4 linked regions of the Schizosaccharomyces pombe genome follow. Changing the gene in region 4 together with the main gene of any one other region gives a genetic interaction. Each region holds a gene or a part of one and is shown on either strand. Other genes may lie near its edges.

Region 1 (5,878 bases), 850 kb from region 4:
ATTGTAATACATCCGAAATACGAGGCGTTTAGATCTCCTTGTTCATTTGCATATTTGTCGCTATTCAATCCAAATAAACACGATCTTGTCGATAACCCTACTTTCCGTTGGCAGACAATATATCCTTTAATACCTGGAATTATAGAATTCATTAGAAACTCGTGGTCTGACGCTTGCCCAGTTGTTAAAGATGGATCCAACTCTCCGTCTGCTTCAAAAGTTTGTAGAACGGTTTTATCGATGCTTGGATTGTTTACTGAACAAGTTTTCAGTGTAGCTGATGAACCCAACAATCATAGGAAGAAAATATCTCAAGTTTTAAGAAAAATAAATAGGGACATAGAGTTGATAAATATCAATTATGGAACAGATTCCGAATGGAGAGGTGTATTGAAAGGATACGATAAATTGCGCGAGCGTGCAGTGGAATTGGATGCATTGGAGAACCCGGGTAAATGAAACTGACTCTATATGTTTCGTTTTAAATGGGTCCTCGCATTGTTTTAATTTAAGAATTTGGTTTGAGGGGTTATTTATGTTAAGTGGTATAAACAAAATTGATATTAACGCATAAATAAAATTAATTAAATAGTAGGGTGTATCCCCCCTAATTGATTCACCATAATAATTGCTGCAGTATACAAGTCTGAAACATTCTCAGTAATAGCCCCACCAATGAATTGTTTATTTGCAAGTTTCCACGGAGCCGTTTCTCCTGCGCGTATACTGTTATTATATTTGAACTGAGACTGCATGTACACACTTTGTATACTTAGACTGAAACAGGATTCTATAGGTTTGCTTTCCTTGGATCTGTCGAGACAAACGAAGGCTTCTTTGGAATTAATAGATGACGGGCTAATGTCATAGCTCTTAACTTTTGAACATTTTAATATAAATTCTAGAGAGTGAGGGAGTAAATTTTTGTTAAAAGGTACAGAGTTTTCATTAATTCTTGTGACCGAATGAATTATTACTCTGTCTTCCATATTTCCAAAGACTAACAGTAAATCCTTATTTACGTTTCTAGTCAACTGATTAGTCGAAGCTTTCAGAAATTGACATACCTAAATCTAATACTTTTGGAGAACTCTGTAAGTATCGCATCATTTAAAGGGACTTTCGTTTCGATACGTAGACGGGAATCCCATAAGCTATAAGTCATGATTAGTTGTTTTTTTCCTTAAAAACATTCATAACATACGCTAAAGGAAAATTGATAGTGCAAGTAGAAGATTGCTTAGAATCTTTATAAAACGCAAACTGATCTAACTTTGAAGAACAAATCATCGAAAAAAATACAGTGGAATCCTCTGTCTTGTTTCTCTTATCATCTGTAAATAATAAACTTCCCTTGAAAACAAAGTAATTCTTTGAATCTAATACTTCATGCTCTATTAAAGGATAAGTATACTCAGTACGTCCAAACAAAATTTTCACAGGAGTATTCAATAATGAATCGATATTCGAAACTGATTTGGTAATGCTTTATAAAAAGGTTAATATAACATATGAAGACTCAACCTACCAGTCTGCAAAATATGATCGGGGAAGATTCAAATCCTTATATATATTCATAAAACCATGTGAACAAGCCGACACATCTGATGAGATATTTGGATATAGTATGACGCCAAACCTGTTGGATTAATATTTATTCAAAAATAAACGCATACTCTAAATTCAATTCAATTTCACCTGAAAAGGATTGAAGTACATGCAAGCTAAACAAAGTGTTAGACTTATGTTTACATATTTAGTCAATACCACAGACCTTCTAGATAACCATCTGTGCAATGATTTCAAATTCATGTTGTCAATCTCTTCGTGATTAATGTATTTTTCAGAGCATACTATTTTTGGTTGAAATAAGTATAAGCTTCCCACACCGTAGCTTGATACCGGATTGGAAGACATTAGAATTGTATAATAGTTGTCACCAAGGTCGTCCATTTTCTCATCTTGTAAACGTAAAAACTTCATGTCAATTGAAGGAGTTAAGCTGCCAGATTTTGGAGTGGAACAATCTGATCCTTTGTCAAGCTCTAAACATTCTACACTTAATAGGTTTTTAGACTTTGAATCGTCGAAATCCAATTTTGCGCAATTTTGTCGCAAAGATTTATGAACATCATTAGCGTTAACTTCATTAAATTCATTTGAATTGACCAATTGAAAAGTCTGAGACTGTTTAGTTATTGCTTCGTCAACAGTATTACCATCCGAAGAAACAGAATATCTAGTAACCAGCTCTTCTTCAGGTTCCAATGGTAAAGTATTGCTCGTAGGTCGAGGAGGAAGCTGAAATTTGAACCGAGGAGGCTGCTTGCTATTAGACTTATTAATTGAATGCTCAATTGCAGTTGTTTTATCTTGGAAATGGGTCAAAGATGAAGTTCCTAAAATTTGCTTATCAATCGTGGGTAATTTATTCAACTTGTTCATAATCATTTCTTCAAAATTTGACGGATTATTCTGGTTAACAACAGGATCAACTGCTCTCCTTCCTTGATGAATTGAATTATCAGATAATTCGGTTGACGAAGAATGAAAATTTGACGGCTTTTGTAAGACTGGGATCGACAAATTGGATGAAGTTTTATTTAACTCGTAAAATCTGTGCGCTGGTTTCGGAGAAGAGAAGTTTAAAGAAACACCTGCAAATATTTTACATCCTATCAGCTTTATATCATCAGAAAATATTTTAAAATTATCATTACAGGGAGGGGTTTTGGAAGGATTTTTAGCAAAAACTGGTACCAACTCATAAGAATCACCATCATGTTTATTTCTCAATAATCTCATAGTATAAAAAGATCCAAGGATATTGAAAACGCTTTTGAAAATAGATGTCGTATGCATAGCTGTGTATAAAATCTCGTTTTCAAATTTTAATTTTAGAAATTTCAGTTGGCAGGGTGCAATCTTTCCTGCATAAACAAGAGTTTCTTCAGGATATTCATAGACTTTCTGGGACACTAAATTCTCTATATGCTTCATTTTCTCCAACATAGCATTAATGTCCTGATCGTTATTGGCTAATACAACTATTTTCTAGTCAAAAGTTAGGATGGTAGAAGTATCTTCACAAATACATACATTATCTTTTAAAGAAGCCTTGTATTTTGTGTTGGTAGCATGCGCAAACTCCTTGAGCAAATCATTATTGTCGGGAAGGTAAAATAATCGCTTGAAACTCCCGTTGTAAACAGTAGGCGAATAAATGACCTGTTTAAAATTTCCTTCCCATTCAAAAGGAGTAATGATTTTAGGTTTTATCAAGCAAGGAATATAAAAATCGGAGGATGTCGGTTTCTTGCCCACTTTAGACTTAACAATGTCCTCATTTTCTTTTATTTTCACATCTTCAATACCGTATCCTAAGTCTAAGTACCTTTGAAAATTCAATAAAGTAGTAAAATCATAATGCAATTGCCCGAATGGATGAATATCTAGGCGTGGTTTCTTGTAAACAGTTGATTCGCGCTTCAACTTTTGAACTATTTCCTCAAAACTAGCATGTTAATTAATATTTAAAATAATATTTAGGATGAACGCATGGAACTTACAGACTAAACGCTTCTCTTTTGTGTTCCTCGTACACTATGACTTTGAATTGCTGAATTATTAGCGTCAATAGCTAGGATATATAAAATACCTGAGATGAAGAAGAGTAAGAAATTTTTACTTTTCCATTATATTCAGAACTATATCATCAGTAATAGTCCATTTGCGCAAAACCATACTTTATACAATTTGTGAAGGAGGATATAAATTCAGCATTTAAAAGCAACGCTGTATCGATATAAAATTTAAAAAATCCTAATATTAGCAAAAGAATGATACACATTGACTTACCAGATTGATTGTTTGCAGATACTTTACCCATCACTCATTTCATCGAGCTTACAGATGGTACATGCTATATGCAGCTTCAGAATATAAGTGAAGTAATATGAATTCATTAGGAATATAAAGCTTTATGAATTATCAGAAGAAAAGAAAAATAATTAAATCTATAGTTCCTTGTATGTAGGTATTATAATTGTGATAAAATTAATGTTAACGTACTTACAATCGAGAGCTGAGTATTTGAATTATAAGCTGTAATGATTCATTAAAGGTTAGAAACACTGTAAACTAAAAAATAAAACTAAGACAATTGTTAAGAAACGTATTTTGTTTAGCGGACACTCATTTGTAAATAAAAATGTGTTGTCTTATCAACTAACTTAATGCCTCCCAAAGCTAGGAAATCATTAACCAATAAATATCTGAACGTAAAGTAGAAGCTTCAAAGTTATTTCTATAGCCCCAACATTTCTAGTAGAGTCAATAAAATCCTTAAACCAGGAAATAAGGCACCCTCTCCTCCAATTAAGTATTAGTCATTATTTCAAAAGCAGATGATGAGATGCAATAGGAGTTCATGAACATCATTCCCTCTCAATTTCTACGAAAAGTTTTTTAATCATCAGAAATAGTTTTTTCGAATAATTGGCTTCTGATTTCGTCCTCCAATGACGCTTCCTGATTGTCATTGTTTAAAGAAGGAAATGAAACCCCTCTGAGAAGAGAATTAATTTTAGCTACCATGGTGTTCGTACTGTTGAGGGTTGATATCAATTCAGGGTTTTTCTTCCACATATTCGTATGTATTGAAGAAGGCCCATCTTCAAAAGGTTCCAACATTTTTTCGATTTGCTCAAGTTCAGAGCGCTCCTGTTCTAATTCTGACAACGTTGTTAATAGACCAAGTAACTCTCCCGTAAGACGATTGAACTTCTCTTGCTCCTCATCCTTTTCGACAGGTCGGGATTCTTTTTGAAAAGGCCATGGATGGGGAAGTGATTTTACACTGTCTAAATTGCTTAAATCAATTTCTCCATAAAATAATGGATTTAAAAAGGTAATGTCCTCAATAGCGCTATTTTGTTCATATAACTTTCGTATTTGAGCGGCAACATGCTGAGTTGCTTGATGTGAATAATTTAGCTTTGCATGCTTTTGGATACGAAGTTGCAATCCTGTTTTGGTTAATAATAATATTTTGAACTTTTTATTTGTAGGAGAAATCCAGACAAAAGCATGGAACACGTACGTTGGAATACAGTTTCAACGACTGATTCTGAAAGCTGACCGGATTTTAAAGGAAGTTTCCAATCCTTTGGAGGGCGCATAGGTCGGTTCAACAGCCGTATCTGTCGTTCCATGAATGATTTTTTATGTTCGTAAATATCCATTTAGGAAGTAAATTTGATTTAAATCAAGATTATCAGGATTAAAATAAAAACAGTTGAATACTGATCGAAAAACAAGTCAATATGGTATTGAAATTAACAAAGCAAGTTCACGCAAAGGCAACAAACTAACAGCGACTTTTGAGCATATAGACGTCTTCAGTGTAAGCACTTCCAAAATTAATTACTTAACAAAAAAAGACCAAATCAATCAGACCTTGGCTGATGGTTGATTAATGACAAATTTTGAGAAAGTTACAGGAGACTAAAGAAGTCGAAAAGTCGAGCGACTAAATAGAATACTTTGAATGATGTTAAAATGAAGATTTTATGTACATAATCATTAAGCTAGCTCCTTAGAAAGGACTCGTCTAATGCGAGTTAAAAAATTAGTGCATATATCAGTTCTAAGATATAGCGAAGAGAGTAATATTCTATGAAGGATGAACCCTAGAGTATAGTGTATTGTGAAGTTGACCTAGGATATACCATTAATATTGAATAGCATTAAACATATTTATTTATCCTTAAAACTAATAGCTTACAAAAAAATTCAGATTTACAAACAAGCACCCAGAATTGGTACATATACTCTACGGTGGTAAAACGTAAACGAAAGCTTGGTTTTTACAATGTAG
Region 2 (5,045 bases), on a different chromosome or scaffold from region 4:
CTAAACTATTCTTTCTGTTTAATTCAGAAGCTCTCCAATGTCAAGAAACCCAATGCGCCTTTAAGTGTGAATAGCTACAGCAATCAGCAAGTCAAAGCAAAACGCATTCTTGTCTTTAAAAGAATTTATTTTAATCAATATAACAGTTGAGTTTGGGAATAATTCTAGAGAATGAAGATGTTGTTAGCAATCCTCTTTTCCTAAAACACCCTAACCTACTCCATTTCGTTGAAAAAATAAACCACTTCCCCAATTCTATGATTTTGGGATTTTTTTTGGGACTATATTAGAGAATTTCTTGTTTTATATATATCAACAGGAGCTCATTAACGTCAACACTTGAAAACAAAAAGTATTTGTCAATTATAATTATCACGAGGTTCATTATTGATTTTTCCCGAATAAGATTATCTCCAACCAAGAAAACGGAATCTTTGAATCTAAAAAAACACATTCTTTACGTTTCTTAACATTCCTCGGCATAAATTGTTCTCTTTTGAAAAAATCGTTAGCAAAAGAGTTGCTGAATCGCAAACAAGCTACGAAAATTGCATTATCTTAAAAGAAATTGTGTAAATAACAATTTATAAAGTATTTCGGGACTTTATGAGGCCGACACATTGGTCGAGTAATCAGTGCGAAGTGGATTTTACAGCTGAAGCTCTCACAACCCTTTCTTTGTCAAACCGGAATCATGAGGAAGATCCAATTCAACCTGTGTTAAAAAATTCCAATTTATTTCTCTTGAACAGAGACATATGGTCCTTGATCATTAATTATCTTGATGCATTCGATATATTACGCCTGATGCATTCAAGTAGGCAGTTTTACTATTGGCTTCGTAAATCAGCTGTCGATGAATGCTGTTTTAATAACAATTTTCTTAATTTACAACCTTATCAACGTACAGTTCCTGTTGCCAGTGATTTAGAATGGGCTACTGAAGTTGATCTCTACGGAAACCCACCAATTTTAAAACTCCAACTTCGCGATTCATTTGTCTGGTCAATGCTTGCCAAATTCCAGGGACTTCAGACCATTGCTTTAGACGGAACAGGTGTTACCATTTCTAGTGTAACGAATATCTTGCTGAACATTCCTACCGTTAAAACCTTGAGTATAAGATGGTGTGTTGGTGTTTGCTCTCTATCTCTCATTGAGTTTCTACAAAATTCTAAAAGCAGGACATTTTCATTGGAAAATCTATACGTCCTTGGTGTTAAAGGATTAGAATTACTAAAACCTGTTTTGCTTGATGGCTCTGAGGATGACACATTAACAAGCAATTGGCATAGTCGAGTAATTTTATTTCAAAATGCTTTAGACGCTTTACCAACTACTCATGGTAACCCAGTCGAATGCGATATTTCACGTTGCCCTTTGAATGCATGCAAAATTGCAGGTCAGGAAACTGAGCTTGCCGATCTTTTTTCTTTGCAAAAAGTCCCTGCTTGTATCTATTGCTTAAGGGAATGGAAGAAGCCGATTTGTCGTTATTGCATAGATTTAAGAAGTTGTTTGGTTTGCGATTCATTTGTCTGTCCTTCCTGCATATCGTTGGATTTTGATTTGCAAATACAAGCATTTGCTCGTCAACACCGTGTAATATCTACTTTAGGTGTTGTTTATCCTGAAAGAGAAGACTCTTGTTTCCATAAGATCAAGGCCGCCCAATGGCATCAGATCAGTCCTAGAAGTCTTTTGTTCCAATTCCAAGAGCAGAACCATATTCACCACAAAAAGATTCGCAGGAAGCTGTTAGCGGCTGGATGGAAATGGCCTCAATCACAGATATAGTAAGGGCAAGGCGACCTAGGTGAAAAAACTTTTTACTTTCACAACTCTTCTTTTTCTTTCATGACTAGTCTAATAATGATCTTATGCCATTCTTACTCAGAATTTTCGTTTTCATAACCATGCGAAACTCGTAAAATAATGATATACACTGAAGTAGCTAGCATTGCGTTAGAGGGTGATCTTTGTAGTAACATAACATTTTGAAATGTGCACACTAATGGTTGCTCTGCTGTTCGTCTTTTCTAGCTATTCTTATAACGAAGTAAAAATTTATTGATTAACGCTTAACAAACAGTTGGAAATTCGGTTTGGAATGCTCGTTTTTTAGTAACTGTGTTTATGTCTAAGCGCAATCCTCCTGTGACTAATATCGCGGACTTGGTGTCAGATTCTTCCTTAGATGAAGACTCGCTTTCTTTTCTCGAAGAGCTTCAGGATCCAGAATTATACTTCAAAAATGACACTTTCTCTTCCAAGAGTAGCCATTCTGATGGCACCGTTACTGGGGATACGTTGCGTAGGCAGTCAAGCGGTGCAACTGCTTTAGAGAGATTGGTCTCACATCCTCGTACTAAAAATTTTGATTTGCAAGGAAATGGAGGACAAAATTCTGCTTTGAAGGAAGTGAATACTCCAGCATATCAGTCAATGCACCATTTCGAGCATTTAATAACACCCTTGCCCTCTACTAATGCGTCTCACAGTGAAGTTTCACTCAGTGCAGGAGTGAATGATCTCAATTCTAATTCGGAGCATGATTTGTTACCTAAAAGTGTAAACAAAACCCCCGGTTCTTTATCAATTTCAAGACGACGAAGAATCGGCAGAATTGGATTAGGCCCTCCAAAGCGTGCTGAGTACACGTTGACGGATCCCTCGAAGACTTCCGATACCAAAAACTCTACAGAAGCAGATGAGGATATTGAAATGAAATCTCGAGAAGTATCACCAGCTTCCAACTCTGTTGCTGCAACAACTTTAAAACCTCTGCAGCTGCATAACACTCCTTTGCAAACATCCCAGGAGCATCCCAAACCTTCTTTTCATCCTTCTCAGTTTGAGAGCTCTTTTTCTCCTAGGGTGCAGTTTGATCACGATGTTGAAAGAAGAGCTAGTGAACTTCATTCTCGTCCAGTCACCGTTTTCCAAGAGCCTCAGCGTTCTGCTTCTCAACCATATGAATCTCATGCTCTTTCTCCAAAGGTGGCTCCGTTATTTGATAACAGTCAAGCTACTCCCATACCCAAGCGTCAGCAGGACGTTGTTACTGTTGCCAATCTACAATTTATCAAATTAGGAGTTGTTGGAAAGGGTGGAAGTAGTATGGTATATCGCATATTTTCCCCCGATAACAGTCGTTTATACGCTTTGAAAGAGGTGAACTTTATTAATGCAGACCAAACTACTATACAAGGATACAAGAACGAAATTGCATTATTAAGAAAGCTTTCAGGCAATGATCGCATAATTAAATTATATGCTGCCGAAGTTAATGATACTTTAGGGCAACTCAATATGGTGATGGAATGCGGAGAAACGGATTTAGCAAACCTTTTAATGAAAAACATGAAGAAACCCATTAATCTTAATTTCATCAGAATGTATTGGGAGCAAATGCTAGAGGCGGTCCAGGTAGTTCATGATCAAAATATAGTGCATTCGGATTTGAAGCCGGCCAATTTCCTGCTTGTAGAAGGGAATTTGAAGCTGATTGATTTTGGCATTGCCAAAGCAATTGGTAATGACACCACTAATATCCATCGTGATTCCCACATCGGTACTATTAATTATATGGCACCTGAAGCTTTGACAGACATGAATGCTCACACAAACTCTGGCGTGAAACTCGTAAAGTTGGGCAGGCCCAGCGACGTGTGGAGTTTGGGATGTATATTATATCAGATGGTGTATGGGAGGGCCCCGTTTGCTCATCTAAAAATGATCCAAGCTATAGCAGCTATCCCTAATGAACAATATCACATTCATTTCCCCGAAGTTGCCTTACCTGCTAATGCTGTCCAGGAGAAAGAGGGATCGTTGCCAGGTGTAACTGTCGGGCCTGATCTAATGGATGTTATGAAAAGATGCCTGGAAAGGGATCAACGGAAGAGACTTACAATACCGGAATTGCTGGTTCATCCCTTTTTAAACCCTTTGCCATCCTATTTGACACCTTTGGCCAAAAAGCCGTTACCTGTTTCTGGGCACACCAATAATGCTCATCCACTTAGACTCAGCACAGAAATCTCAGCTTCTCAATTATCAATGATTATAGAAAGGTCGGTGGAGTTGAGTAAGCACAAGCGATTAAATAAGGAACTTATTGATAGCATGGCTTATGATTGCGTTAGCAATTTACGAAAAATGCCAGAATAGAGGCACTAAATTTTCCGATTATTCTTAAAAAGGTTTTATCTTTTACAAAGTTTCCCAAACATCATACGAGTTTCTTAATGTTAACGACTTTTTTAGGGAGCTTAAAGGCTTTTTTTTTTTAATCTTTAATTTTTCGCTCTTTTAAAAGAAGGTAATTATGACCTTGATTAATGAACCACATATTATATGGCCCCTGATATCTATACTTTGATACTATGTAAATATAAAGAACGCTATACTCCCAAACGCTATAAGTTGTTTGTTTACGATATAATACCTTTTTGTGTTTGTTTTTTTTAGGTAAAGCAACCAAATGAATGATGCTTTTTTATAAGAAACTTTTTTAATATAATTGGGTTATATTAGACATTAAAAAAAAACCCCATAACTAATGTAAAACAAAAACCTTTAAAAATAATGTACCGCCGGTAGAGATGATTATTAACGCCATAAATGTTGGTGCAGGAAGGGAATAAAACAGGTTCAATGGAATATCGATAATCCTAAAAAAACTTGTGAAAAAATCTAAGTTAAATCTAATCACTATCCAAAAATTTATTGGCAGAAGCACCCAGATACAGGCGTAGAGTGTTAGGGGAGCAATTTACCAATTTGCAGCGAACCTTTTTGCGCCCTGCTTCATCGTGAGCACGTAGTCGATGACAGCCCCCAAAGGCAAAATAATAAGGCTTCCCACTCTTTTTAAACGTTAAAACATCAACAGGAGGAAGCTCACCAGCTTCCAAATCTTCTGAAGTCAAACCGCATGAAGCTGGAGGAGTTTTCCCTGTCATGGTTTCCATCATACTATTGACTTTGTTCATATCTAAAACAGGAGGTATAGGACGAATTAACTCAGACATATCAAGCTC
Region 3 (4,089 bases), on a different chromosome or scaffold from region 4:
TTCAAAAAAGTTGTTGAAGCGTCAGATGTGATTCTTTACGTTCTTGACGCTCGTGATCCTGAAGGGACTCGTTCAAAAGACGTTGAACGTCAAGTTTTAGCATCTTCTGCTGAAGAAAAGCGTCTTATTTTCGTTATCAACAAAATTGACTTAGTACCATCAGAAGTACTCAACAAGTGGGTTACCTATCTCCGCAATTTCTTTCCTACGATTCCTATGCGTTCCGCTTCAGGATCTGGAAACTCAAATTTAAAGCACCAGTCGGCTTCTGCTAGTTCCACTATCTCCAATCTTCTTAAATCACTCAAGTCTTACTCAGCCAAGAAGAAGCTTAAAAGCTCTCTTACAGTCGGTGTAATTGGATACCCCAACGTTGGTAAATCATCTGTTATTAACGCTCTTGTCAACCGTTCTGCGAATGGTCGTTCTGCACCTTGTCCTGCCGGAAACGTTGCCGGAATGACTACTTCTTTGCGAGAGGTGAAGCTAGATAACAAATTACGTTTGGTCGATAGTCCTGGTATTGTTTTTCCTTCTAGTGATTCTAAAGACGATTTGTATCGTCTTGTAATGCTTAATGCTGTTTCATCCACCAAAGTTGATGATCCCGTTGCCGTTGCTTCTTACATTTTGCAATTCCTTAGCAGAGTTCCAGGACAATTGGAAAGAATGTTTCAAAGATATGAGCTTCCTCCTCTATTGAATACATCCGATATAGACACTGCTACTGATTTTTTAGTCAATATTGCTCGTAAGCGTGGTCGTCTAGGTCGCGGTGGAATTCCAAATCTTAACGCTGCTGCCAATATTGTCATTAATGACTGGCATGCTGGTCGTATCGAATGGTGGGCCGAGCCTGAGGTTATAAACGAAAAGAACTCATCTGAAGTTCAGGATACTCAAATCGTTACTGAGTGGGCCAAAGAATTTGACCTTAATGATTTTTGAGAGTTTTCAACTTACGAAAAAAGCTATTGTTGCTTAGAGCTTATATTTTGGGATTTGGTTTTCGGTTGCGGTTTTTCTTCGGGTTTTAAAAATCTTTAGGTGTTGATGGTTACTAGCTATTACTTTTTGAATTAATATATAAATAATTTTTTTTGCATATATGCCGTATTCTTGAATGTGTTGTTTTACATTTACTTGTAAAAGTAATGTTTGATATGGGAGAAGTTTTAAGTAATAGGTTCGCTAATACGGGAAATTATTAAATCAATGCATGCTGGCTTAAATAAAGTCAATTGAATATGTACGGAAAATGACATTGATACTAACGTGCAGTTATAAGTTTCATTTCATTTTTATATCAATTGATAGGATAAACACAAACAATTCTAACCATACTATTTTGCGCTACTACTGAATATGGCATAATATCAAATTAATCTGTTTAGCAGTTAATAATTATGTATATAAACTAAAGAATAAATAAAGTTACATACATTACCAAAGAAAAGAAAAAAAGCTTGTATATAAAAGAAGTAAACTATTTAATAAGCAATGATTTAAGACTTGATTCTTTTCAATTAACAATCGGCTAATAAATACACAAAAATTTTTTTTAAAAGCCTACTAGTAAATAACTGCAATAAACTGTGTTTTTAGAATTTCTGAAACGTATAAAAACGATTTGGTACTTTTGGTATTCTCAATCCGTTCCTCCTAACGAAACTCACCTACCACCAAACTGATCATCAAAACAAACCACCATAAATTAGTCTAGATGCGTGAGATTGTACGAGCTATTTTAATATTCAAAGCTAATCAATAGGTTCATATTCAAGCTGGTCAATGCGGAAACCAAGTCGGTGCGGCCTTTTGGTAAGCAAAATCTACTTTGTTATAACGTTTCTCTCAACTAACGCTTGGAAGGTCTACCATTGCTGATGAGCATGGTTTGGATTCAGCTGGAATGTAGGTCTATTTTGCTTGTTTTTTTACTGACTTTTACGTAGATATCATGGAACTTCTGAGGCACAACACGAGCGATTGAACGTTTATTTTAACGAGGTAGGTTTTTTTGCTTTCTTACAAGTGTTCGGTTGCTTAAAACTTTTTGAAAAAATTTTTTTTTGTTTATTTAGTACTGACGACTGTAGGCCGCTGGTGGAAAGTATGTTCCCCGCGCAGTCCTTGTTGATTTAGAGCCCGGTACTATGGATGCCGTGAAGTCAGGAAAGTTTGGAAATCTTTTCCGCCCGGACAATATTATTTATGGACAATCTGGTGCCGGAAATATTTGGGCTAAAGGCCATTACACTGAAGGTGCTGAATTGGCCGATGCTGTTTTGGACGTTGTTCGCCGTGAAGCTGAAGCATGTGATGCTTTACAAGGTTTCCAATTAACTCACTCTTTGGGTGGTGGTACTGGATCTGGTATGGGTACTCTTTTACTTTCGAAGATTCGCGAGGAATATCCGGACCGTATGATGGCTACCTTCTCCGTTGCTCCTGCTCCTAAAAGCTCTGATACCGTTGTGGAACCTTACAATGCTACTCTTTCTATGCATCAATTGGTAGAGAACTCTGACGAAACATTTTGCATTGATAATGAGGCTCTTTCTTCAATTTTCGCTAACACGTTGAAAATCAAGAGTCCTTCATACGATGACTTGAACCATCTTGTCTCTGCTGTAATGGCTGGTGTAACCACATCTTTCCGATTCCCTGGTGAATTGAACTCTGACTTGCGTAAATTAGCTGTTAATATGGTTCCCTTCCCTCGTTTACACTTTTTCATGGTAGGATTTGCTCCTCTTGCCGCCATCGGTTCAAGCTCATTTCAAGCTGTTTCTGTGCCCGAGCTTACTCAACAAATGTTTGATGCTAATAATATGATGGTCGCCGCTGATCCTCGCCATGGCCGTTACTTAACAGTTGCCGCTCTTTTCCGTGGTAAAGTCTCAATGAAAGAAGTCGACGAGCAAATTCGCTCTGTTCAAACTAAGAATTCAGCATATTTCGTTGAGTGGATTCCCGATAATGGTATGTTTACTTGGTTTAAAACGTCGTTTGTATATTTAGTTTATTTTTTCTACTTGTTTATGCTCATCTGCTAACCTCGAAATAGTCCTCAAAGCTGTTTGTTCCGTTCCTCCTAAGGATCTCAAGATGTCTGCAACTTTTATTGGTAACAGTACTTCTATCCAAGAAATTTTCCGTCGTTTGGGTGATCAGTTTTCTGCAATGTTTAGAAGAAAAGCCTTTTTGCATTGGTATACTGGTGAAGGCATGGACGAAATGGAGTTTACTGAGGCTGAATCTAATATGAATGACTTGGTTAGCGAATATCAACAATACCAGGAGGCTGGTATCGATGAGGGTGATGAAGATTATGAAATTGAAGAAGAGAAGGAGCCTCTCGAGTATTAAACCCTTATAACCCTTTTTATAATCCAAGTGTGCCATATATTTTCAAATAGTGTTTATCTACGTTCCTTTTTTCCTACATTCATTGAAATGCTTTATTTTACTCCGATGCATATGGATTCCAAGCATCGTCTGTGCTAAACGCTCTTTACTTTTTTTCATAGCTTTGAAATGCTCCTTACACTCTAAATATAGCTTTAGCCTGGCTACCAAGGTGGAAATGTACTATAAACACGAGTAAGTCTGTAAAGTACTTTTGTAAGTCCAAACCGTACGAATTAAAGCTATTTACTATTCCCTAATATATGCTTAGATATTTGACTATTACAAAGTAAATGTATAAAGCAAGTCTAATACTTAAGTGTCAATTCCCAAAAGTAGAACCAAAAGATGCAGTGAGATTTGTAAATTCAATAAACTATTAATTTAGTTAAATTATCACCTACTGCTACGTATCGTATTTATGTTGCGTTTTGTGAAAGTAAACTCGTTTGATATACCAGTACTTATAAACGTCCACCAGTATAACAATCCGCCACTTTCTAAATTCGCCTTTGTCAACGACGAGAAATATTGAGTGGCTTCGAAAAGCCGAAATTGAAATTTACTCATATAAAAGTATATTAGGAACTTTATTTACTACATTGCAATCGCACCAAAACAATGTTTAATCGTAATTTACGTGCTGTCATTCTTAAAAATTACAATAAAGCTTTAACA
Region 4 (6,951 bases):
ACAATTAATTACCAGCCTATTAACTTTAGTTTTTAGCTCATCAACTTCAACATTACTAATTATTCTTTATTTAAATTTAATGTAAACGGTCGATTACTCAAACCAATTTAATACTATTCTTTGTCTATTTGCCTAAATATTTTATACATGTCACGTTTTTGATCACCACCATTCTAAACCCATACTATACTTGACTCTACAGAATGCTGTCAAAACGGGGATTAAATCCCGTTCAAGCGGAGAGCAGAAAGAAGAAAAAAAGAGAACAAATTAAAGTGCGAGAAGAAAGAGCAAAACGCCATGAAGAACGACTGTCGCATAGGAATATGAGCCAAATGGAACGCCAATTATCAGAGCTGACACAATTAGAATCTTCGCAAGCTTTAAATGCACATGACAAGCAATTATTACAAAATTTGCAAAGAGATATGGCAATTATGAAGAAGAAAAACATTCATGGACATAGAGTTGGGCGTGTTGAGTCAGACAAGACTAAGGAGGCAGAACGTCAACATAAACCTAGAAAGCCTTTTATCCCTAAAAACCCAAAACGAAGTATATATTATGATCCAATATTTAATCCTTACGGAGTTCCGCCGCCAGGAATGCCTTATCGTGAGAAGGAAGAACTAAGTTCAGAAACAGATGAATCCGTTATTGATATACCTTTACCTTCTGAAGAATATCCTTTTGAGGATCCAAAGCCAAGGGAAAAGAAAAATAAGAGCTTTAAGCCAAAGCACCACAAAAAGCAAGACATAAATGCAAGTTCAGCACAACCAAAATCCACTACTACGACAGAAGCTGCTGCAAATACGAAGGACATTGAAGAGGAAACTATGATTGAGTACTCAGCTCAGCCGGTAGTCAGAGATTTACGACAAGAAGCTGCTCAATTTTTACCTGCTGCGTTTCAACGACAAAAACTAGCCAAGGGGCAGAAAATTGGACAGCCAGACAGGGATGTATCGAGCCAAGTTCAGGAAGACAAGGATGAAGAAATAGATAATTTCTACAAAGAAATTGGCGGATATCTATAAAAAAGTCGTTAAAATTATGGAGATTGGAAGTAAGGATTACCAAATGGGTGTAGACGGAATTTTTAGTTAATAAACATGCATATTAATTTATATATAATATCTGTTTACTAGGTTCAATTTTAAAGGAGCTTGATTGCATCTCTGTACTTGTTTTTTTGTTTTATTCAATTATGAGTGAGCTTTCATAAGTTAATTCAAAGGCTTATTATTATGATGCGGTCAATAATTTCAAATTTTTGATGTCCAAAAAAAACAAAGGAGATTTTGTTTCTGTGTTATTGCATGATATTTATTAATGTTTTCTTGGTTCAATAATTCCTTATTATAGTCACTTTTACACTGCTTGAGCGAAAGGGGATTTCAAAAAAACACCTTATATTCATCTTTCCGTGATTATTTCAAGTTGACTGTTTTTTGTGAATTTGTCTTTTGCTAAATTATGATTGTTACACTTAGTCCTACACTGTTCATTACGAATCAGATTACCAAAAAGAAAGAAGTACATGACTAATTACTTGGATTAATTTTATTTTATTTTCATATGTATTTAGACGCCATGACAGTATTTACATGCGTAAACCAACGAATTCGTTTATCAAATAAAAATATCATAAAGGAAACCTTTAAAAATCGAAATACACATGCTTAAGTTAAAATTTGCACAATGAGAGATGAGGGAGTACTTATCTATCTTTTGCTTGCTTTTCTTGGGTTCATAATCTTTGGTTTTCGCTATAAATGCTGTATGAGACTAGGAAGCTTTTGCAGTCAATCATTCTATTATTTATAAAAACAAATAAGTTATTTATTGATTAAAAACTCGTGATACTTTTTTTTGCTATAAAATGATTTATTTACATATAATTACAAGGCACTCGCACGACCTCGTTATGTGCGAGGAGCCATGAAATTGAATCCATTGATATTAAAATTAGCCAAAATGCCATTTCTTAAGAATGGGTAAAGTCCTGTTAGAGCTGCATTCAGTACCATGGAATGAAGAAGGTTTGAGTGATAATGCTCGACTTTATTCATTTTTGGAGTTCGTAAGCCCGAAAATCGAGGAATTGAAGTACAGAAAGCTTTTGTTAGAGAAACTACAGACTCACATTAGGGAGGTCGTTTTGGATGCTGAACTTCAAGTATACGGTAGCATGTATATTGGAACAACATTATCTATAAGTGATGTAGACGTATCTTTGAAGTCACCTCGAGTTGGAGAATTGGAGAAACGACGCGTCACCATGGTTTTAAGAAAGTACTTGGATGCTGATGCTGATTTCCATTCTAGTGCCAGAGTCCCTCGCATCAATTTAGTAGATGTTAGTGGAATTGGGGTGGATTTGACGTTTGGAAATGACAAAGCTTGCAGAACTGCTGAATTGCAAAAAGCTTATAACGAAGAACACCCAATTTTTGGTAGATTGCTGATGCTATTGAAGCACTGGTTGTTTGAAAGAGATTTGGAAAACGTTCATCATGGCGGGATTGCAAGTTGCGCGCTCTCTTATATGCTAATTGGTTGGCTTGAAATGCGATTTCACAAAAAGGGAATTGATTCGGAAGTGCAACCAATTCGAGCTTTACTACAGAAATTCTTCTATTTTTGGGGAGTCGAATGGACATACGAACTTTTTGTATTGAGACCTTTAACCGGTCAAATAGTTCCTAAGCTACAAAAGGGCTGGTTAAACGAAGTGCAACCAAATTTGCTATCTATTGAAGATCCAATTGACAGAAATAACGACATTGGAAAGCAATCATTTCAAATTAGTATGATTAAAGCTGCATTTGTTGCTTCAGCTAATGAATTATTATCCGATAAGACATGGTTTAGCACCTTTGCAATTACGGAAGATGAAATGTTTTTGTGTAAACAGTTTGAAAATGTTATAAATACTAAACGAAGTTTGGTGGAGGGATATGATAGTGATACGGAATCAGATGAATTACAAGCTGGCGGATAACTGCGGGTTAATGCATTTAAAAAATAATGCTCGCTGTTTAAATAAACATTTGTTTTTCAATTCCTAAGTTGTCTTGCCGCATGTGGTAATGTTTCACTACAGTTCGTATGTACTTTACTCTTGTTTAATTGAATGGATTCATATTCTTATTATTGATAGGATATAAGAATCCTACAATTATCTTAGTCATTTTCAAGTCTTTTAATTTTACTTAGGCAAGGTTCGGCTGTTTCAAATGATATCACATTTTGTACCTATTGAAGGTGCTAACAAAATCTGTTCTTTAAAAATTTCAAAATTAAATCTATTTTATTCTTTTAAAATCTATCCAAGGATCCATGTTAGATTTTCAAGTCAATTTAATAATTGCATTTCACTTAGATTAATAAATGTGTGTGCAATCTATAGCTTTTTCGAAAGAAGGACGCTATCTTCTGTTTTGGAGCTCTCATCAATAATGAATCCCCGATGAATAAACCATTCGGATACATCGAGTTTAGGGCTTAATTTAATGTAAATTTCTTTGGCTTTTCCCTCAGCTGCAGTCTCGCAAGCATATTCCAACAGCTTGGTACCAATAGAACGGTTTCGATAGGCTGGCAAAACTGCCAAAGATAAAATTTGGATTTTGTGCGATTTATTATGTGTTTCTTTTTTGCATCTAACAGCTCCTACGCAGACCTGGTTAAAGTACGCATATTGTGCTAAAGGCCCGACTGAGATTGTGTCTTTGTAAAAGGAGGTTGGAAATATAATGATTTCAGGATCAAAACACTTTTCGTTAATAACTTCAAGGATTTTCAGATTATTAGGGTTAATCGCATCAAGTTCAATCATCTTTTTTATGCAAATGCAAATATCTTTTTCTATATGTACTTGGTGTTGTCAACTTTCAGTCTTTAAGGCATTCTAATGCAATAGTTTGAGTTGGAAACATCCACGATAAAATCTTTAAACAGTACGCTGCATTTCATTAATCCCGTTGTCACATGAATGTGAAGGTATTGTAGATGCTGGTCGCATAGGAGAAGCGTTAACAAGGCTGAAGACATCGTCATTTCCATCTTCCTTTGTGTCTACGTTTCCTTCTTTCTTTGTGGTAGAGGGCTCTTCAAAATTTGATTCTTGTGGGATAATCTCTTCGGTGGATAGCTTTTCACTTGCAGAAACCGCAGGATTCTCAAAGTCAATATGAAGTTGTCTTTGATATTCATCTATTAATCTTCTAAGCCAAGGGACTGTGTAGCTAATGGCTGGCCATGCTGTACCTAGCATAGTAATGAAGTTCCAAAGGCTCCACAGGGCCATAAATGAAAATACCAGCCCTTGTATAATGATAAGAATGATTGCAATGATCACTTTCGGAATGATTGCTAAATCAAATGCTATCGGTATGAGAAGAGCAAAGGAAACCACTCGGGTGAGAGCAACCAAAAAGACGCAAAAGGAATTTTTGAAACCAACAAAAGGCCGAAACACTGCTAGCAATATAAAAGAGATGATTTCAATAACAAATAGAAGTATAGTTTGAATCTTCGCAAACTGTTGTACTAACGCTAAAACCAATGCAAAACTAAAATAATGTGCAAAGCAGGCGTAAACATAGAGCCATCGCCGTTCTTTTAAATCCAAATATAACCATCCCCACCATGTGTATATTTTTGGATCGCTTATCAATGTTTCTGGATTGTCCTCGTTACTCAAGCCTGACGTTGTTATCACTCTTATGACTTTGATAGTTAACCAAAGGAAAAGCCCAAAAAGCAGTGCCAGAAGCAAAGCCGCCAATATTACAGGGCCATATGCTTCCCTAAGTGTAAACTGGTAAATTATCATAGTTACCAATACAGGCCAACAAACCAACACCTATATCAACCAGATTAGTATAAGTATAAAGCAAAAAAGTCGTTAAGAGCTATGTATGAACAACTCATTCCTTTGTTCAATTAACTTACCCATCTCATACAAGCATTAAAAAGTACTCTAAACCAATACCTTGTGATATAATCGCATGAAGATTTTGCGATTATACGTGTCTGACGAAGAAACTTAATAATAAGTACGAATATTATAACGATTCCTCCTGCTATGGCCAAAGAAATCAAAAACCATATTAAAGTGAGTGTAAATAAATTCGTTGTTAGCGTTCCAACTTCGGTGGCTAGGCCTTGAAACCCATGGTAAAATCCAGGAATCGGGCTTTGAGGGTTTGTTGCAACAGCATCTCTTCGATGGACTCCACCTATCTTTGGAGAACTTAGGTTTCCATTGGAATGCTTTCTAAAAGACTCAAGGCTGTTTTCTATCTCTTTATTGGTAATAAATCCTAGAATCCATGCAAAATTACTAGCCCATGCGACTAGCACTTTTGGCTGTGTAATTCCAATTGCTCCCGTGAAAGCTATACATTGAAGTAGCTCTCCCATGTGCTGCAAAGAAGGAACGGAATTGATGAAAACCTGACGTGTCAGATAGGTGCTATGCTCCATTCCAATTACATAAAAGCCTAAGACGCCTGCTATACTCAATGCCAAAGCAGTTCCACTTAGAGCTTTTACGACTTTATTTTTAAACGTATGACCATTATTAAGTGTCGCGATCATGCACGCAAGTGGTGTAGAATTATCGATGGATGACGCTGCGATGTCTTCTGAGCGATACATGCGAAAACGCACTAAGCCTTCAAAATCAGGAATTCCCCAGGCAATTTTTGGGATCATCTGAACATCTTGAGGGCTCACTGGAAGTATTCCCTGTGTGGTTATAGCTGTATCTCTTGCAACTGGGCACACAGTATTAAGATTTATTTCACAAGGGTCGAAAGTAAATCTTGCCCTCTGCTCTCCATAAGCTTCAACTATAATATCAAACGTAACATTTGCGTCCACAGATGAATATCCAAGAATATTAAAGACTACTGACAAGTTTCGTGTATAATAACTTGCATCAAACCGATTAAACACTATCGGGGCATTTGACATGCATTCTGCGTACTCGGCTGTTCCAAGTTTGTGATTTGGTCTCTTACTATATCTTACTCGACCTTCCACTGACGATAAGATATTACTTAAAACTGCAAAGTAAGCTAAGAGTATTAGCTTCATTTTCATTTTCCATTAACATCCCCCTTCCAGTTATGTAGAGGGTTTAACTTTGGAACGAATGCAAAAAAAATTAAAATGAACTTTCCTCAGAATTACCAAACTATCACGAATAACAAAAACATGCTACTGAACTCAAATGCCGTAATTTGACTGTAATGTTTACGAAATAGCAGTCGTATTTTTTAACAACCATAGCATTGAGTTAAATACAAGGATTAAATAAATAGTAATGAAACGATTGAAGCTTTAAGATTTTTACGAAAAAGAATACAGAACGTGGCTTCGTTTATTTAGTTACCACCATCTTAGCATTGTTCTTACGCTCACAATTTTACACTATGAAAAAAGCAATATAATGGTAAAGAATGTATCATTAGTAAAGAATAAAAAAAAGAAATGCATTTTCATTTCATTTGTAGTTGTGAGAAGAAATGATGGAATGTGCGAGCCTCACTTGATTTTATGTCATTATGTTTTGGACCTCAATTAGTAATAAAATTATTCTGTTGAAGTCATTTCTGAAGGCGTTTCTTGATTTTTCGCTTGTAATTCGTTGAGTTGCTCCATTAAAAGATTTCGAAAAGGAGTCAGCAGCTTCTCTTTAGTTCTATTTAATTTCATTCCACAATTTGGAAGTTGTGGCTGCGGTACTCCATGAGCTGTAGTGGGTGTAATAATTGCGGACCCAAAGAAGTTATAAAGATGTAAAAGCCATTCACTAGTACTATCTTTATTCTCAATAGCCTTCTTGCTTTCTTCATCAAGTTCCTTCACATAATCACCAATTTCTTCCAAAACTTGATGTTTTGTCTCTTCATCCAAGGTATTTAAAGCTTTATG

Evidence for each region.
Region 1: mutations in cid12 (region 4) and ers1 together harm fitness less than expected from each alone (positive genetic interaction), as found in Schizosaccharomyces pombe (2 studies listed by BioGRID).
Region 2: mutations in cid12 (region 4) and mph1 together harm fitness more than expected from each alone (negative genetic interaction), as found in Schizosaccharomyces pombe (2 studies listed by BioGRID).
Region 3: mutations in cid12 (region 4) and nda3 are lethal when combined (synthetic lethality), as found in Schizosaccharomyces pombe (2 studies listed by BioGRID, with this or other methods).

Annotation. Positions count from the first base shown.
Region 1 is NC_003421.2:799,208-805,085, reverse strand, and holds ers1 (RNA-silencing factor Ers1), read right to left. Parts: upstream 3,929-5,878; 5' UTR 3,890-3,928; coding exon 3,859-3,889; exon of another isoform or gene 3,823-3,858; coding exon 3,747-3,822; exon of another isoform or gene 3,708-3,746; coding exon 3,659-3,707; exon of another isoform or gene 3,620-3,658; coding exon 3,570-3,619; exon of another isoform or gene 3,547-3,569; intron 3,515-3,546; coding exon 3,100-3,514; intron 3,055-3,099; coding exon 1,775-3,054; intron 1,726-1,774; exon of another isoform or gene 1,725-1,725; coding exon 1,677-1,724; exon of another isoform or gene 1,640-1,676; coding exon 1,529-1,639; exon of another isoform or gene 1,487-1,528; coding exon 1,205-1,486; intron 1,155-1,204; coding exon 1,068-1,154; intron 1,027-1,067; coding exon 585-1,026; 3' UTR 543-584; downstream 1-542. Other genes in the region: rRNA processing protein Ipi1, read left to right, coding at 1-459; protein Fta4, read right to left, coding at 4,468-5,027, 5,102-5,243. UniProt on the Schizosaccharomyces pombe protein: Involved in RNAi-dependent heterochromatin formation and centromeric silencing.
Region 2 is NC_003423.3:371,753-376,797, forward strand, and holds mph1 (dual-specificity protein kinase Mph1), read left to right. Parts: upstream 1-2,041; 5' UTR 2,042-2,136; coding exon 2,137-4,173; 3' UTR 4,174-4,540; downstream 4,541-5,045. Other genes in the region: F-box protein Pof13, read left to right, coding at 607-1,797; srx1 (sulfiredoxin), read right to left, coding at 4,710-5,045. UniProt on the Schizosaccharomyces pombe protein: Involved in mitotic spindle assembly checkpoint signaling, a process that delays anaphase until chromosomes are bioriented on the spindle, and in the repair of incorrect mitotic kinetochore-spindle microtubule attachments.
Region 3 is NC_003423.3:3,963,559-3,967,647, reverse strand, and holds nda3 (tubulin beta Nda3), read left to right. Parts: upstream 1-1,674; 5' UTR 1,675-1,723; coding exon 1,724-1,735; intron 1,736-1,771; coding exon 1,772-1,821; intron 1,822-1,872; coding exon 1,873-1,914; intron 1,915-1,955; coding exon 1,956-2,010; intron 2,011-2,099; coding exon 2,100-2,985; intron 2,986-3,070; coding exon 3,071-3,372; 3' UTR 3,373-3,556; downstream 3,557-4,089. Other genes in the region: GTPase Grn1, read left to right, coding at 1-948; protein Sdh8, read left to right, coding at 4,033-4,089. UniProt on the Schizosaccharomyces pombe protein: Tubulin is the major constituent of microtubules, a cylinder consisting of laterally associated linear protofilaments composed of alpha- and beta-tubulin heterodimers.
Region 4 is NC_003421.2:1,653,673-1,660,623, forward strand, and holds cid12 (poly(A) polymerase Cid12), read left to right. Parts: upstream 1-1,973; 5' UTR 1,974-1,996; coding exon 1,997-3,007; 3' UTR 3,008-3,409; coding exon of another isoform or gene 3,410-3,844; 3' UTR 3,845-3,958; coding exon of another isoform or gene 3,959-4,873; 3' UTR 4,874-4,962; coding exon of another isoform or gene 4,963-6,111; 3' UTR 6,112-6,408; downstream 6,409-6,951. Other genes in the region: splicing-associated factor Saf1, read left to right, coding at 204-1,040; NatA N-acetyltransferase subunit Naa50, read right to left, coding at 3,410-3,844; trp663 (TRP-like ion channel protein), read right to left, coding at 3,959-4,873, 4,963-6,111; SPOM_SPCC663.15C (uncharacterized protein), read right to left, coding at 6,610-6,951. UniProt on the Schizosaccharomyces pombe protein: Has a role in the RNA interference (RNAi) pathway which is important for heterochromatin formation and accurate chromosome segregation.